3 linked regions of the Drosophila melanogaster genome follow. The protein of the gene in region 1 interacts with the protein of each later gene in a pairwise test. Each region holds a gene or a part of one and is shown on either strand. Other genes may lie near its edges.

What was found. The genes of interacting proteins can lie anywhere in the genome.
Region 2: the proteins of CG17580 (region 1) and CG13643 interact in a two-hybrid assay, tested with the Drosophila melanogaster proteins (one large-scale study listed by BioGRID).
Region 3: the proteins of CG17580 (region 1) and CG3769 interact in a two-hybrid assay, tested with the Drosophila melanogaster proteins (one large-scale study listed by BioGRID).

The regions. Positions count from the first base shown.
Region 1 is NT_033778.4:12,804,554-12,808,666, forward strand, and holds CG17580 (uncharacterized protein), read left to right. Parts: upstream 1-2,060; 5' UTR 2,061-2,144; coding exon 2,145-2,366; 3' UTR 2,367-2,481; intron 2,482-2,536; 3' UTR 2,537-2,676; intron 2,677-2,733; 3' UTR 2,734-3,258; downstream 3,259-4,113.
Region 2 is NT_033777.3:24,903,005-24,908,311, forward strand, and holds the start of CG13643 (uncharacterized protein), read right to left. Parts: upstream 3,001-5,307; 5' UTR 2,903-3,000; exon of another isoform or gene 2,723-2,902; intron 2,473-2,722; 5' UTR 2,375-2,472; coding exon 2,335-2,374; intron 421-2,334; coding exon 206-420; intron 45-205; exon of another isoform or gene 1-44.
Region 3 is NT_033779.5:9,433,312-9,437,342, forward strand, and holds CG3769 (uncharacterized protein), read left to right. Parts: upstream 1-2,087; 5' UTR 2,088-2,198; coding exon 2,199-2,402; intron 2,403-2,513; coding exon 2,514-3,416; 3' UTR 3,417-3,531; downstream 3,532-4,031. Other genes in the region: scat (scattered), read left to right, coding at 1-1,604; RpS28-like (ribosomal protein S28-like), read left to right, coding at 3,642-3,872.

The DNA.
Region 1 (4,113 bases):
AAATTAAGTGTCACCACACAACTTATATTGAGCCGTTTACAGGATTTCTCAATTAAAAGCGACATTTAAATTAGATTAAAAATGGCAATGTATAATTTGTTTCAAAGAATAACTATGTATGCCACAGGCCACACACACTAACCTGCTCGCATTTTCTCACACCCTTTGAATCCTTCTTAATCTCCAGTCGGAGAGCAAACAAAAAGCAAAAGCAATCTTTCCTTTGTGCCACGTCTCGAAAGTCTGAAGAGATCCTTGCCAGCACAGCCTATTTGCTGCTGTTTGCTCCTTTTGAGGACCTTTGCTTTTTCGAGGGTAAACGCTGCAGTGCCAGAGGTGGAGAACTTTGCAAGACTGAATAAAAGTCGGCCTAAAGTCTTATTGTTTTCTGGTTTTTATCTGAAAGCTGCTGCTGCTGCTGCCTCAGCTCTGTCATTCGAGGTCCTGTGAAGTTGGCGATTATTGTTGCAAACTTAGTTGACAACTTGCCTGCTCGTCCTGCCATCTGCACCGCCCACTTATCGCCACCACCGCCCACCCCAAGGCCATGCAGATGATGGGCCGCCAAGCGTAATAAGGCCGAAGCCCAGGGAAAGAGGAAGTCTAGTGAAAATAAACAGTCGGACAGCCAAGTTGGGCATAGTTGAGCTTCTCGGCATCTCAGCTTCGCAGTCTTGCAGTTTCCCAGTTTCCCACTCTCACAGTTTTTCAGTTTCCCAGTTCATAGTTTGCCTGTTGTCTCCCCATTGTCCTGGCCATTCTTTATTTTTCAGTCCTTCCACTCCGGCTCTATATTATTATTATGTCTTGGCCCGGACTGCACAAAGTTTTGCCATTCTCTAACGACTTTGAATTTTTAATAATACCCCGCTGGAGCTTAACAATTTTGCCATCGTTCGGTTGTAGCGGCTAAGCTTTGTTACCAATTTAATGCATTTCTTGGTTGACGGAAATTGAATATCCGTTAAGATATATTAACAATTTATGCCGCCCTGATTGCCGACCCCCAATGCGGGTGCGGAATGAGGAGATCTATGCCTTTTTTGCAGTAAAATTGAAAACGAAACGAAACGGAACCAAAGCACACAGATACTATACACGAACGAACGGTAGCTGTGGCAAGAGAGCAGTCATCATCAGGGCCATAATGAGCAAGTCAATAGCCGGGCGGGCCAGCAGCAAAGGGAAAAGTCGAGGGGAAAGCCAGGCAATCGATGACGGAGCAAGGAAAATGCCGGCTGCCAGCAGTCATGCAGCGACGTGCGATAAAAAGCAGATTGCAATTTGTTTTACTGATTTCCATGCTTTTGGCTTTATTTGCACGACGGAAACTTTCATTAACATCAAACAGAAACTGAAATTGAAGCAGTAATGGCATCGCCAGCACTCCAAAGGATACAGCCACGGGGAAAAGCTGGAAAAGCCGATCGAAATGCACTTAAATCATGGCAAGAATGAGATCTACGGCATGCTTAAGTGGCATTATATGTACATACATATGCGCATATACGAGAATGCCATTATTAAGTTGCATCCTTCATTTGCTCAATTTGGCCAGTTGACCAGCTGGCCATTTAATTGATACGGCAAAAGGTCAGGGTGATGGTAGACCCACTTGACACCTCACCAAATTCCAGAATTCTTTGGGCAAACATTTGAGCAACATAAATGCACAAGTCCTACCAACCAATTAGTTGGCAAATAATGGAGAGAAATGACTTTTCATCTCTCGACCGCAAACAAAGTCCTTTTGTATTCCACCCAGGACCTCCTGTTCTGAAATTTATGCACGGACTTGGGCCTGCAAGGATCTCGAGGAGTGGCGGACGACTCTTGTTTTGTGTTCCAAGTAATTTGAACAAATTTGCGAGACATTTTGTGGCCTCCGAGCAAATATTTCAGGCCAATGCTAACCACCCCATCATCATCATCATGGCTTGGGCAGGCCTTTTGCGGACAAAGGCCAATTAACTTAAATAATTAGCCAGAAGTTTTCGCCATCGGAGATGAATCTCAGCCTACGAGATGCTCAAGTAATTTCAATAAAATGTTATCATTCGGTTGCTGTCGAGTTGCCAGGGAAAATCCAATCAATTATCGCCCAAGGGAAGCAAATTCGTACAGAAAGTTAAAGGCCCAGGGAAATGGGAAACAAGCTGCGCCGCCAACCACAAAGAGTTGAAGTTGACGAGGAGGAGGTGAGATCCGACCGACCCCAGAAGAAGCCACCATCGTCATGGCCCTTCTGGCGCCTGGTCTACTGGCTGGGAGTCCTCATCATGGTCATCGGCATCGGTGTGGGCATGTACTTCACCCTCAAGTCGGACTTCGGTGAGTGCTCCTCCTACGACGTCCGTTGCGATTGAGTGCTCCTGGCGATATAGAAACTTCCACGGAAATGGCGGAATTCATTACCCATTGAACTTCAACTAATTTGAAGCAGCTTGGCCTGCGAAAGCAATTGTTCTACATTTAGCGAGAGTAAGTATGCCAGCAGATATTAAAGAAAACTATTTAAAATTATTTCCCAAATTAGATTTAATTAAAACTTATACACCAGTTATGTTTTCTTGTCGAAACATCAGTTTGATCTTTTTACTTTTTATCATCGCAGTCTACATTTGCCTGTTTGTTTTATATATACTCCACAGAGTTGGTGAAGATAATTAATATTGGGTTTGTAATATTATTTTTCATTTGCCTTGCAGTATAAACCAGCTTATCTTTTCGCAGATTCATATGTAAAGTTATTCATTTGTCTGTTCTCCTGTTTGAATTGTGATATGCTAAGCTTGGTTATATCACTATCAACTTACGTGCAGTCCAATACTTGTCATACATGAATTCTAGCAGCTGGATCTTAATTAAAGCCGGATGAAACAACCCACCCCACACTAGACCGCCTCCTTTATTGTTAACAATTACAAAAGCAAGGCCGAAGCCGCGCAATCTCCAGCAACACATGCAGATACATTTGTGCATGTAGACGTGTGTATTTGTGATGCTATTCAAACTTATTGGAGCGCTTCCTTTTGATGGCGTTCTGGTTGACTCTTCAATGGCGAAACACTTTTTAGTTGAATGAAGCTAGTGAATGCACATATTTTGGGTTGCATATAAAAAATCCTACGATTATTCACTGGCCCTATTTATTTTGGTGTTAATTAACGAAGTGGAGAATGGCATTCATTGATAAAAGTGTACAACGATTTTTATTTCACATATTTATGCTATTGCTGTAATTAAAATAACAATTTGAATTAAAACTCTAATTTTAATAAATAAACTAAAATTGCACACTTATGACGACACATTTTATTTAAATTACCAGCTTAGGAAGTTGATTGCTTCTACTAAACGAGACAAAAGTTATTTATTTCGGTGCGTTGGGGGTTTATCTTAAAACGACTTCTTATGAGAGGGGCCATCAGTCAAGGTCAAGCTTAACAAAGATTTGTCGGCAATTCGAGCTTTTATTTCTTTGACACTTGCCAGACTTCTTTCGTTCGCACACAGCAGGTGAAATATAAATAAACTTTTTAATGAACTTTAAGATTTATTGCCAGCAGCAGCCGCAGCAAGTCAAGTCTGACACTTTGTGGCTTTAAATTTTCGGACGGGAATGTGCTGTTTAGATAAATTATACAGCACAATATATCCCGAAGGCACTGGCTGGCTGACTGAATATTTTGAATGTGAAGAGCACCCTGCCCTGAACTAAATATTCTGCAAATAATTGCACTCGACATCGACTGAATAGACCTAGCCCACAAATAATATCTTAATGCTTGCTCTGTATTTTACGAGCTTCCACCCATTAGACGCACACACTGCGTATGCGTAATGTCGAAATAATATCATTAGTATAATTGAACATATCTTGGTGTTGGCTCGGTCAGGCAATCAGATGTCACAGGTGATGTTATAAAATTCACAAAGCAAGCGGCTGATGAGCTGATTATTTACGTTCCAACATCTTTGAGGAGATAATTAACAATGTCGAGACATCAATTATCGCAATGTTGCAGCCAGCCCCCCAAGCGAAATTGAACTTGAAAAAGTCAAGGACTTGGGACTTGGGAATTATTTGTGTCGCTCTTGTTGTTTCACTAT
Region 2 (5,307 bases), on another chromosome or scaffold:
TGGTAATTTTTGATCAATAAACCATATATTGAAATTTGTAAAGTATTTTCATTTTGATTCTGTAGAAAATATTATTGTCAAAAAAAGGTAGTATTTAGTACCCATATTAAATATATCATTTCTATGCCAATGTCGTTTGCTACATGAGCCACTGCTGCCTTGATCTCAACCAGAAGCACTTGCACCTGGGCACAACATTACTCACCCCCACTCCGGGCAGCTTGACGCAGACGTGGAACATCTGGCACTGGGTCTCCGGATCGGCATAGTAGCCACCCAGGATCTTGTCGTGGCAGGTGAACTGCGTCTTGGGCATGTTCTGTAGGCTGTAGGTGGGCCAGGGCCTTCCGAAGGCCAGGTCGTCGTCCTCGTCGAGCAACTGGGCCTGCGCGTATCCGTATCCACTGCAAAGTGTCGTTGCTGCAAGAGTGGAAACAATATAAAGAAGTCAGAAATCGTGATCCGGTTAGGTCTGCTCTTCAAACGGCACCTCAAGTGGGGCCAGAATCGAGTCGAATGGGTATTTAGTGGGAACAGATGCTGGTGCCGATCGAGACGATGCTGCTGGTGATGGTGCCTGGTGCCCTGGTGGTCAAGTGACCTTCGGGCCGCATCACTTTCGCTTACAACTGCGAGACGAGCTCGTGATTTATGTGTGCCGGAGCACTTGCTGCGGTCCAAGGCTGTGGAGCTACTAACTCGGTTCTGTGAGTGCTTGGGACCGCTTTTTATTTACTTTTTCGGAGCATCGATTGGTATTTGCGATGGCGAGCGACATCATTAACATTTTGGCCAGCCGAACGATATGCGATCGCTGTGGTCACAAACGGATCCACTGGATCTACTGGGCACATAGGGGTCGCTCAATTAAAATGCCAAGTCAATCAAATTTACGGATTACGCTTGTCGGACATGTGTACATTGGGCATTAAAAGCAAAACAGACTCAGGGGTCTGCCTAATTACCCTGAGATTGAACAATGTATCATTGTTGTCTATGGCTTTTTATATACATTTAGACATATCTTTTTTTTTTTGCATATATTTTTTTATTCTTCGAAGCTTCTGTTCTGCAGACAGCGGAAGATGGTTTCGCTGCAATTAAGGCAAGTGTAATTGTCATGGCAAACTGCAGAACAAAGCTCCTCTTCTACGGCTGCAAATTGCAGTCGCAGGTTGCATAATCCCCCAGTGCGCCCCCATTTATCATGCCAAAAAAAAAAAAAAAAAAAATTGGTAAAGGAAACCCAAAATGCAAAACAAAGAGAAAACAAGCCATCCAGCACAGTTCGAAGAAAGAAAGACGCTGTGGCCGAAACTCGACTCTGATTCGCATTTAATTCAAGTGAATTTCAAACCCAACTTTCCACCCCAGCAAAGCAGCCTATTGTTTGGCAGTGAACTATGACTGGGCAGATGGCATGGGGCACTGGCAAAGGCATCCCAGGCAGCTCTTTTGTTACCCCCATCCATTGTAGATTGTTCGATTTCGATTTCAATTGCTTGGTTGCTGAGCTGAACCTACAAATTGGTCAAAACTTTGGGCCGACCTAAGCTCTCACGCAGTTCAAATCCCCTCAAGCCACTGTGCTGGGCGTTGTCCCACTCAAGCTCTCACTGAAAAAATATAATCTACAGTATGGTAATTATGTTTACTGATGACCCACTCTTAGCCGTAATTGCCATTTCTCAGCCTTGTCTTCATTTTTGCCTGCTGCAGGGGCTGCCAAGCGAATTACGCTTGATTTCAAATGTGATCGATATGAAACCCATTGAATCCCATTAATTTCTTTCGCGATGGACCTTGAAGCAGCGCACTGTATCTGTATTTCATGTGTTCAAAAACAAAACCTAATGAGCATGCGATTTTTTTTTTTTTTTTACCGATATGCTATCATTTATGTAGAGAAGGTGATCGTCAGCAAATGGGATCACAAAAAGCAAAACATAGTTTTTAGTTAGAAAAACGTTTGGAAATTTTGTACTCAATCGAAATCGAATTTCTACGTTTTTCTTAAAGTTGATGCCTGTTTTCTAATCTACGAAATTGCTTAGGGTTAAGCTTATATTTTTTTATATTTAAAATTACATTTACTTAGAGGGAAAACATAAAAGGGAAAATTTTGACACAATTCAAATGTAGTTTAATAAATCCTAACCCTTCTTTGAACATGTACATTATGAAATAGAAAAATATTTTTTAAAGTATTTAAGATTAAAAAAAAACGTCACCTTAATTTTGTAATGATGTAGTTAAAAAAATTTAATTAAAATTTAACTGCTTAATCCAACTGCTTAAAATAATATCCTTTTTGAGATTCAAACTTTTACTCACCCAGGAGGAAGGCAATCATTGCATTTATAATGCTCAGCATGTTGTATTAGTTTTTATAATCCAAAATCAGGATGATATCCAATAAGTAATCCAGAGCAATTAAGCTGATACTAAATGTCGATTTTCACATGGATCGCACTGCAAAACAAGAGGGCACAACACCAGAAATCTTATGAGTATTGAAAGGGATTTGATTGCAAAACTCCCCACTGCACAAGATTTTTGCTTCTTTGTTACTTTGTTTTTTTTTTTTGTTTTGTATTTTTGCTTCTTTTTTTCACTAACTCAACGCGAAAATCATCGCCATAAAAAGTTGTCCGTCATGTAGGAAATGAGCAGACAGCAGGGCAAAATTCTTCAAACTTCGATCTTGTATGTAAATGCGTACGAAATGTGTTTCGCAAGGTGCGAAAACTACGGAAAGCCCATTTAGAAGGTGCAGCGAGACGTTGAAGACGTCTGCCTCCGCCGCACTTGGCTGGGCAAACAGCGGAAAACACAGAGTCACAGCAGAACCACCAGCCAGCAACCACCAACCACATCCACTGAGGAGCAACCAACAACCGACCGGAGGAGACAGGCGAACCAGGCGAGTTCAGCGGGCAGAGCGGGCTCGCGATGCGCGATCTGTGACTTTATCGTTCACGTTGTCGAAGCGAAATGATTTCTGAAAGCGAAAGGAAAACCACTTGGAGCCCATCGGGGCGCTGCTTCCAAGGCAGCAGCCGCACTGGTGCACAGTGGGGCAAAAATGTGTGATAATCTAATTTATCCCATCCCGATGATCTAAACTGAAATACAATACATCCATTAAACTACAAACGTTTTAAAGATTAATATAAGCATTTGTATTTATGAAATCATACGTATTTAATAGGTAAATATAAATATTTAAGGTATTTAAGAGTTAAATTAAAGCTTACGTTTTAATAGAATTTTAACATCTTGTTGGTTTAGATTTCTTAAAATGTTAATACATATAGTTGAAAGGTTAAGTTTCTTTCTTAAAGTATATTTTGTATATTTTAACTACTGTGCGTCGTCGACGCAAGCAGCGCATCAGCGTTCCAGCTTCGTCTCGCATCTTCGTGGTCGTCTGCTGTTCGGTTTTGTGCTTGTTTTTCCACCGCTTCTTGGTTCTGCTGCTTATTTGGTTGCGGCTCGCTGTCGTATGCTTAACGCAAATTACGCATACGCAACGTGTGACCATATGACACTTACTTGGTTGCATTGTACGCGATGCACCGCCTGGCAGGAGTCGTTGGCGCTCATCACTTACGTCAGCTGGCCGCAGGGCCCGCTCATGATTATGGGCAAGCACTCCCCCGCCCGACCAACGACCCCACATCAATTACACCCGCTGTACACTGAGGAAAAAAGTAGATGAACAAAGAGAGGTTTAGATTTTACAAATAAATTTGATCAAAAGTACAACAAAATAAAAAACTTCTTTGGTAGCCCACATGAGCCTTTTCTCTGGTTTCCGAATTCGACATATCCTTACAAATATTCTAGGTTATTAAAATCTTACTTCAAATTTATTTCCTTCTCGAACAATATGATGTTCTTGATTTTTGCAGTGCACTTGGTGCACCAAGCTCGTTGGTTGCATCTTCCGCTGGGTATTATGTCATAGCCGTGGCGGGGCTTTGTCATTTGCTGCCCCATCTGCCGTTGCTGCCGCGGCTGCCATGTCGGGGCAAAAGTCGCGGTGCCACCGCCAATCCGGTTATGTGTATATGGGTGAGTGTGGCATGGAGCCCCATGGATGGGGGACTCCGGGTGACGGTTAGGCTGACGGCATTTGCTGCAGTGTGGGAATTTACACGCCTGCTACTTTTGGCCAGATCTTTGGCGGATCTTGGGCGTTGCTGCTTAGATTTTCCATATTTGCTGCCCAGGAAAGATGGCTAGCAAGCAACCTCAAGCTGTCATGTCACCTGGAACTGAACTGAAGTGCGCCAAACTGCACTAAGCTGGCAGCTTGGCATTTCAAAGTTGAGGTTGCCTGCCGGAAAAAGGCCAGGCAGCCAAAGTCATGCAGATCAGCAGCTGGCGAAAAAATGTCAACTGGAGGATGACTTTCAACCCTGTGTGGTATGGAGCGGAGCGGAGCCATCTGCCAAAAAAGCTGTGGGAAGTGGCCGCCATCTTTCTAATTTGCTGCCGATTGCGATTGTGCAAGAGCTGTAATGCTGTTTGTAATAAATGTTTGTTCGCCTTGCGATCCAACTCCTGTGTGTGGCAATGACTCACGCGATCCCTCTGCGTGGGAAAGGCCAGCAATAAGGAAGTGCCAGATGCCCAAGTCCCAATTGTTATTGGAAGATGAGGTCCGACACGATCCATCGCTTGGCATTACACAGCATCTAAGCGTATTGGATTCTAATTAGCGGGCGCTTTCAATTAAATACCCATCTATTCGAAACTCAAATGGCCTCGGACTCAACGCCTGACATTGATGAATGTGCTTGCCGACAAAGACACGAATTCGGTGTTCCACCTGGCAGCTACAAGCTACAGTACACGCCAGAATCCATTGGCTGGGTAAATTATTTAATTTTTACTCATTATGTAAGCCCGATGTGCAGTAAAAGTGCCGAAAGCATTTGCACAACGTGTGGGAGCCGGTGGAAAATGCATTCACCAACAGCAGCAGAAGCTGCAGCAGCAGCTAAAATTCAATTAAGCTGAAGATGCGCCTGAACAGACTCTCGACTCTCGATCCCATCCCATCCATCCCACCAGCAACGCGCCAAAAAATGCCAAAAAAACCATTCAACAGATAGTGCAAACTTCACAGAAAGAAAAAACTGTAATATTTTAAAATCAATCTTATACTAATTTAAATAATGAAACTATACGAACACACAGTTAAGAAATTAGCTTCAGAACATGCTACAAATAATTTTGAACTTGATTCAATTGGATTCACCTTTATTTCTTTTTCGCTTGCTATAGTTTTTTTTCTGC
Region 3 (4,031 bases), on another chromosome or scaffold:
AGAAGCTTATTGACAAAATGCTTACCACGGAATTCGAGCGCTATGCTGCCGCCGATCTAAATCGACCGTTAACGGATGCCCTCCGGGAAACCGACAGCGTTTGCGCCGAGGAGGATAAACTCGTAGCTATTGTGATGGGCCTGTTGCGCAAGCAGAACTTCTCCTTTGTCCAGGCTTACCAGCAAGAAGCAATCGCCACCATTCGAGCCATCATAAAACAGCTGCTGATTGAGGTTTTGGCACGGAGTGACAGCGATCAGGAGATCAGTTTAACGGGCCACGGAGAGCAAGCCTTGGAGCTCACCCTTCCCGAATGGATTGCTCTGCTCCAGCGCTCCAGCCAAGCTTTGGTTTCCATTCTCGAAAGAATTAAAACTGTAGTTGGTATAATGCAGCAAACAGCGGACGCAGCTGTGGGAGCCCAGGACGCAGTGAATCTGATAGATTCAGAAGCCTTTTTGAGTCCGGGACACCATGAGCAACTAAAAAACCAATTGCAACAACTGCTTCAAGCCGTCTGCCACTACTGCCATGAGCGTTGTGCCAACATTGTGTCCCCTCAGAGCCTGGAAAGGAGCTCAGCTAGCGAGCAAGAACTTTTCCAACTATCTGAGATTGTGGATCACTTTGGCGAGACAACAAGGAGCATTTGTGGAGTGGCCAGTGTGCCCCTCCAGCTGGCCCTCAAAGTCCAAGCCTCCCGATATGCTCAACGATTCCATTCTGAACGAAAGCAGAAGTTGTCCTTACTCCTGGATCAGGAGCGCTGGCGCCAAGTAGACATTCCGCACGAATTTCAGAGAATAATCGAACGTATGGCCGCCGGGGACTATGCCAAACCGGAGATGGGCAATCTGATAAGCAATGGAGCAGGCAACCCAGTGCTCTTGGTGGAAGGCAAACAACCGTACACGTTGGTCAGCGCTTCGCTAATGCTCATCCGAATGTTGTATGAGTACGGTTGTAGTGCACATCGGCTGCCATTGTTAGCCAGCTATCACGCCAGGAATGTGGTGGACCTGCTGCGCTGCTTCAACTCAAGAAGCTGCCAACTAATTATCGGAGCAGGAGCAATGCGAGTTGCTGGGCTAAAAACCATAACGAGCACCAACCTGGCTCTGGTTTCGCGAGCACTGCAACTAGTTCTATGGCTACTGCCCAAGCTGAAAGAGCATTTCCAAGCGATGAGCGGATACGAAACTATCGAGCGGGACTACCAGGGTCACATCAAGGAGATCGAGAATAAAATACACGGAATTGTATCCGAGAGATTGGCAGCTCAACTGGATGCCTGGGAAGCCAGACCACCTATACCTTCTCAGACATTCCGTCACATCTCGCGTCACCTGGTGAAACTTCACGAGGCCATCGCCGGTGTGCTGCCGGAGGCACAGATACACGAAATCTACGGCGTTGTTCATCGAAACTTTAAAGACAAGCTGCGGGAACAACTGCTCAAGTTGAATGTGAACAACAATGGGGGTCCGCAGCACGGGGTGGTGACATCAGAGCTGACCTTCTACATGGAGACGCTGCGCACACTGAAAGCCCTGCCCGCCGAGCAGCTAGACAACGGGATTCTGGAGGAGATCTGGCTCTACTGAGCATTCCGAAGTATTCCATATGGTTGCCGCGGAAATCCTCCGACCGCCCAGCCTAGTTCGTCTTCATTGTTTGTTATCCTTGTTTTATTTATACAATACCGATTGTCGCGTCCAGTTCAGTCTATCTTGTTTGCCGCTGTACATTGCTTGTACTTTTATGTTCCGCCCTATAGCAAAAGGAAATTGGAAATGTATCTCTTTTGTTGCGCACTTTTTTAACACTTAAGCTTAAAGTCGATGGAAGGCTTATGATTAAAGAATAGAAAATAATCAACAAATTTCAATGCGTACAAATCAATGGCGGTAAACGATTCCCTTGTTCCTTTAGTATTATTATCGTTAGCTGGATTTCTATTTGGAATATATATATTTTTTAATGTTTAATTTAATCAGATGACAACCAATAAATAAAGGAAATCCAAAATTAAAGCTATCCTTTATGTTCAAATGTATATTCAAATTTATGCAACTTAGGGGTGAAAGTAACGGTCAGTTTGATATTGCCTAGAGTTGCCACTCAGTCGCAGTTGCTAGTAGCAACCGTTTTAAATGCAAAACAAACCGCAGTAGTTTAGTTTATGCCCTTTTCCTGCGATGCGCTTGCCGCTAATCTTTCATAGCCTGCACCAGCGTCTTCAAAAAATGTTTGTAAAGAGAACTGAGGGCGGCGAAAGTGCCACGCCCAGCATTCAGGACATCGCCGGTCGACTGGCGGAGGAGCAGCAGCGGCTTCGCCAATTGGAGGCCACAACGACTCCCAAAGAGCGGACAATTCTTGTCTTGGGAAGCAAGTGTGTGGTAAGCAATGGATCCAACTTATAAATCCACGTAAAATCATATTCCAAAAAAGTTATACACTAAAAATCTACAAACCCCTTTTTAAAAATATTATATTTTTTATTATTTAAGGGTAAGACGACGGCCATTAATAAGTTCTTTGATCGCGAGGAACACGCAACGCGGCCAACTCTAGCACTGGAGTACAGCTTTGGACGACGGATTGGCAGTGGAAAGTCACCGCAGGTGATGAACGTTTGGGAACTGGGCTCCCTGGACAATGCCGAGCAATTGCTGGAAGTACCAATGCGGACACATGGTTTGCAGCAACTAGCCGTCATCCTTATGCTAGATCTCTCCCAGCCACAGCGATTTTGGACGGATTTGGAGTGCGCATACAAGGGACTGAGGGATACGGCGCAGCAGATGATGGAGAAGGTAACACCGGAGCTTAGGGAAATCCTCGAACAGCGAACAGTGGAGCGAGTGGGTCAGCAGAACAAAGATTCGGAAAAACTAGACCCTCTGCCCTTTCCAGTGATAATTGTCGGTGGGAAGTACGATGTGTTTTCTGGTTTCGATCCTATTATCAGGAAGCACACCTGCCGCTGCTTGCGATCGATGGCCCACCTCATAGGTGGCGCATTGCTGTTCTATTCCCAGAAGATGCCCAAGTTGGCCAAGGTCCTGAGGGACACCATTTGTCACTTGGGATTTGGCAGTCCTGCTCATCCGTTCCGCTCTCATGTCGTGGACTTCAATGAACCACTGTGCATTTGGTTTGGAACGGACAGTTGGTCGAAAATTGGTGATACTGGCGCCCAAAGTGTGGAGCGAATTGGAGCCACATTCGGAATGGAAGTACCGCAGCTGCAGCTAGAGAAGCAGAAGCTAAAAGAAACCACCGATCCGGCCAAGGACCCTGGTTTCAAGGAGTTAGTCATCGATGAGATCCGATCGCAGAAGAACGAGGAACTCGCAGGATTAATGAGGGATGTCTTGCTGCGCGGAAAGTTCGAAAGTGTTCAAACTTAATAAGCGGCTGGGATTAAGCAAAGATGTACCTCAAAGTATTCTAAAATATCCAAAACAAAACTGTCATTTGATATTGTAAGTTACATACCCCTAAATTAAATGTTTAGAAAGCTGTACTTTTAGTGTCTGGAGTTCATTTTAGGTCTGAAAGTTAAAATTCGAAAAAAATTCAGCATTAAATTTATCAATTTATTACCACAGCTAGTTTGACTTTAGTCAAAAAATATGCCCCAACCTGTCGCTTCCAAGGCTCGTGTCATAAAAATTCTCAATCGGATTGGAGCCCGAGGCATTCTAACCGAAGTTCGTGTGCAGCTGGTCGATCAACCCAAGATGCAATTCATGCGGACGGTCAAGGGACCTGTGCGTCTGGGAGATATCGTGGATTTCGAGGACACTGAGTTGACATGGCAATCTTCGAGCAGGAGCAATAGCAATTTTGAAGATATATGCTAGGTGAATGCAGAATAAATAAAATTGAGAAAAAATACCTAACTGCGAAAATCAGCCTATAACGATTTTAAAATAGCAACTTTGCAATTAACCAGTAAACTTTTAATTAAGGGTAGCACAATTCCACAGAGTGGCAACGCCATGTCAGGGATGCAGGCTGGC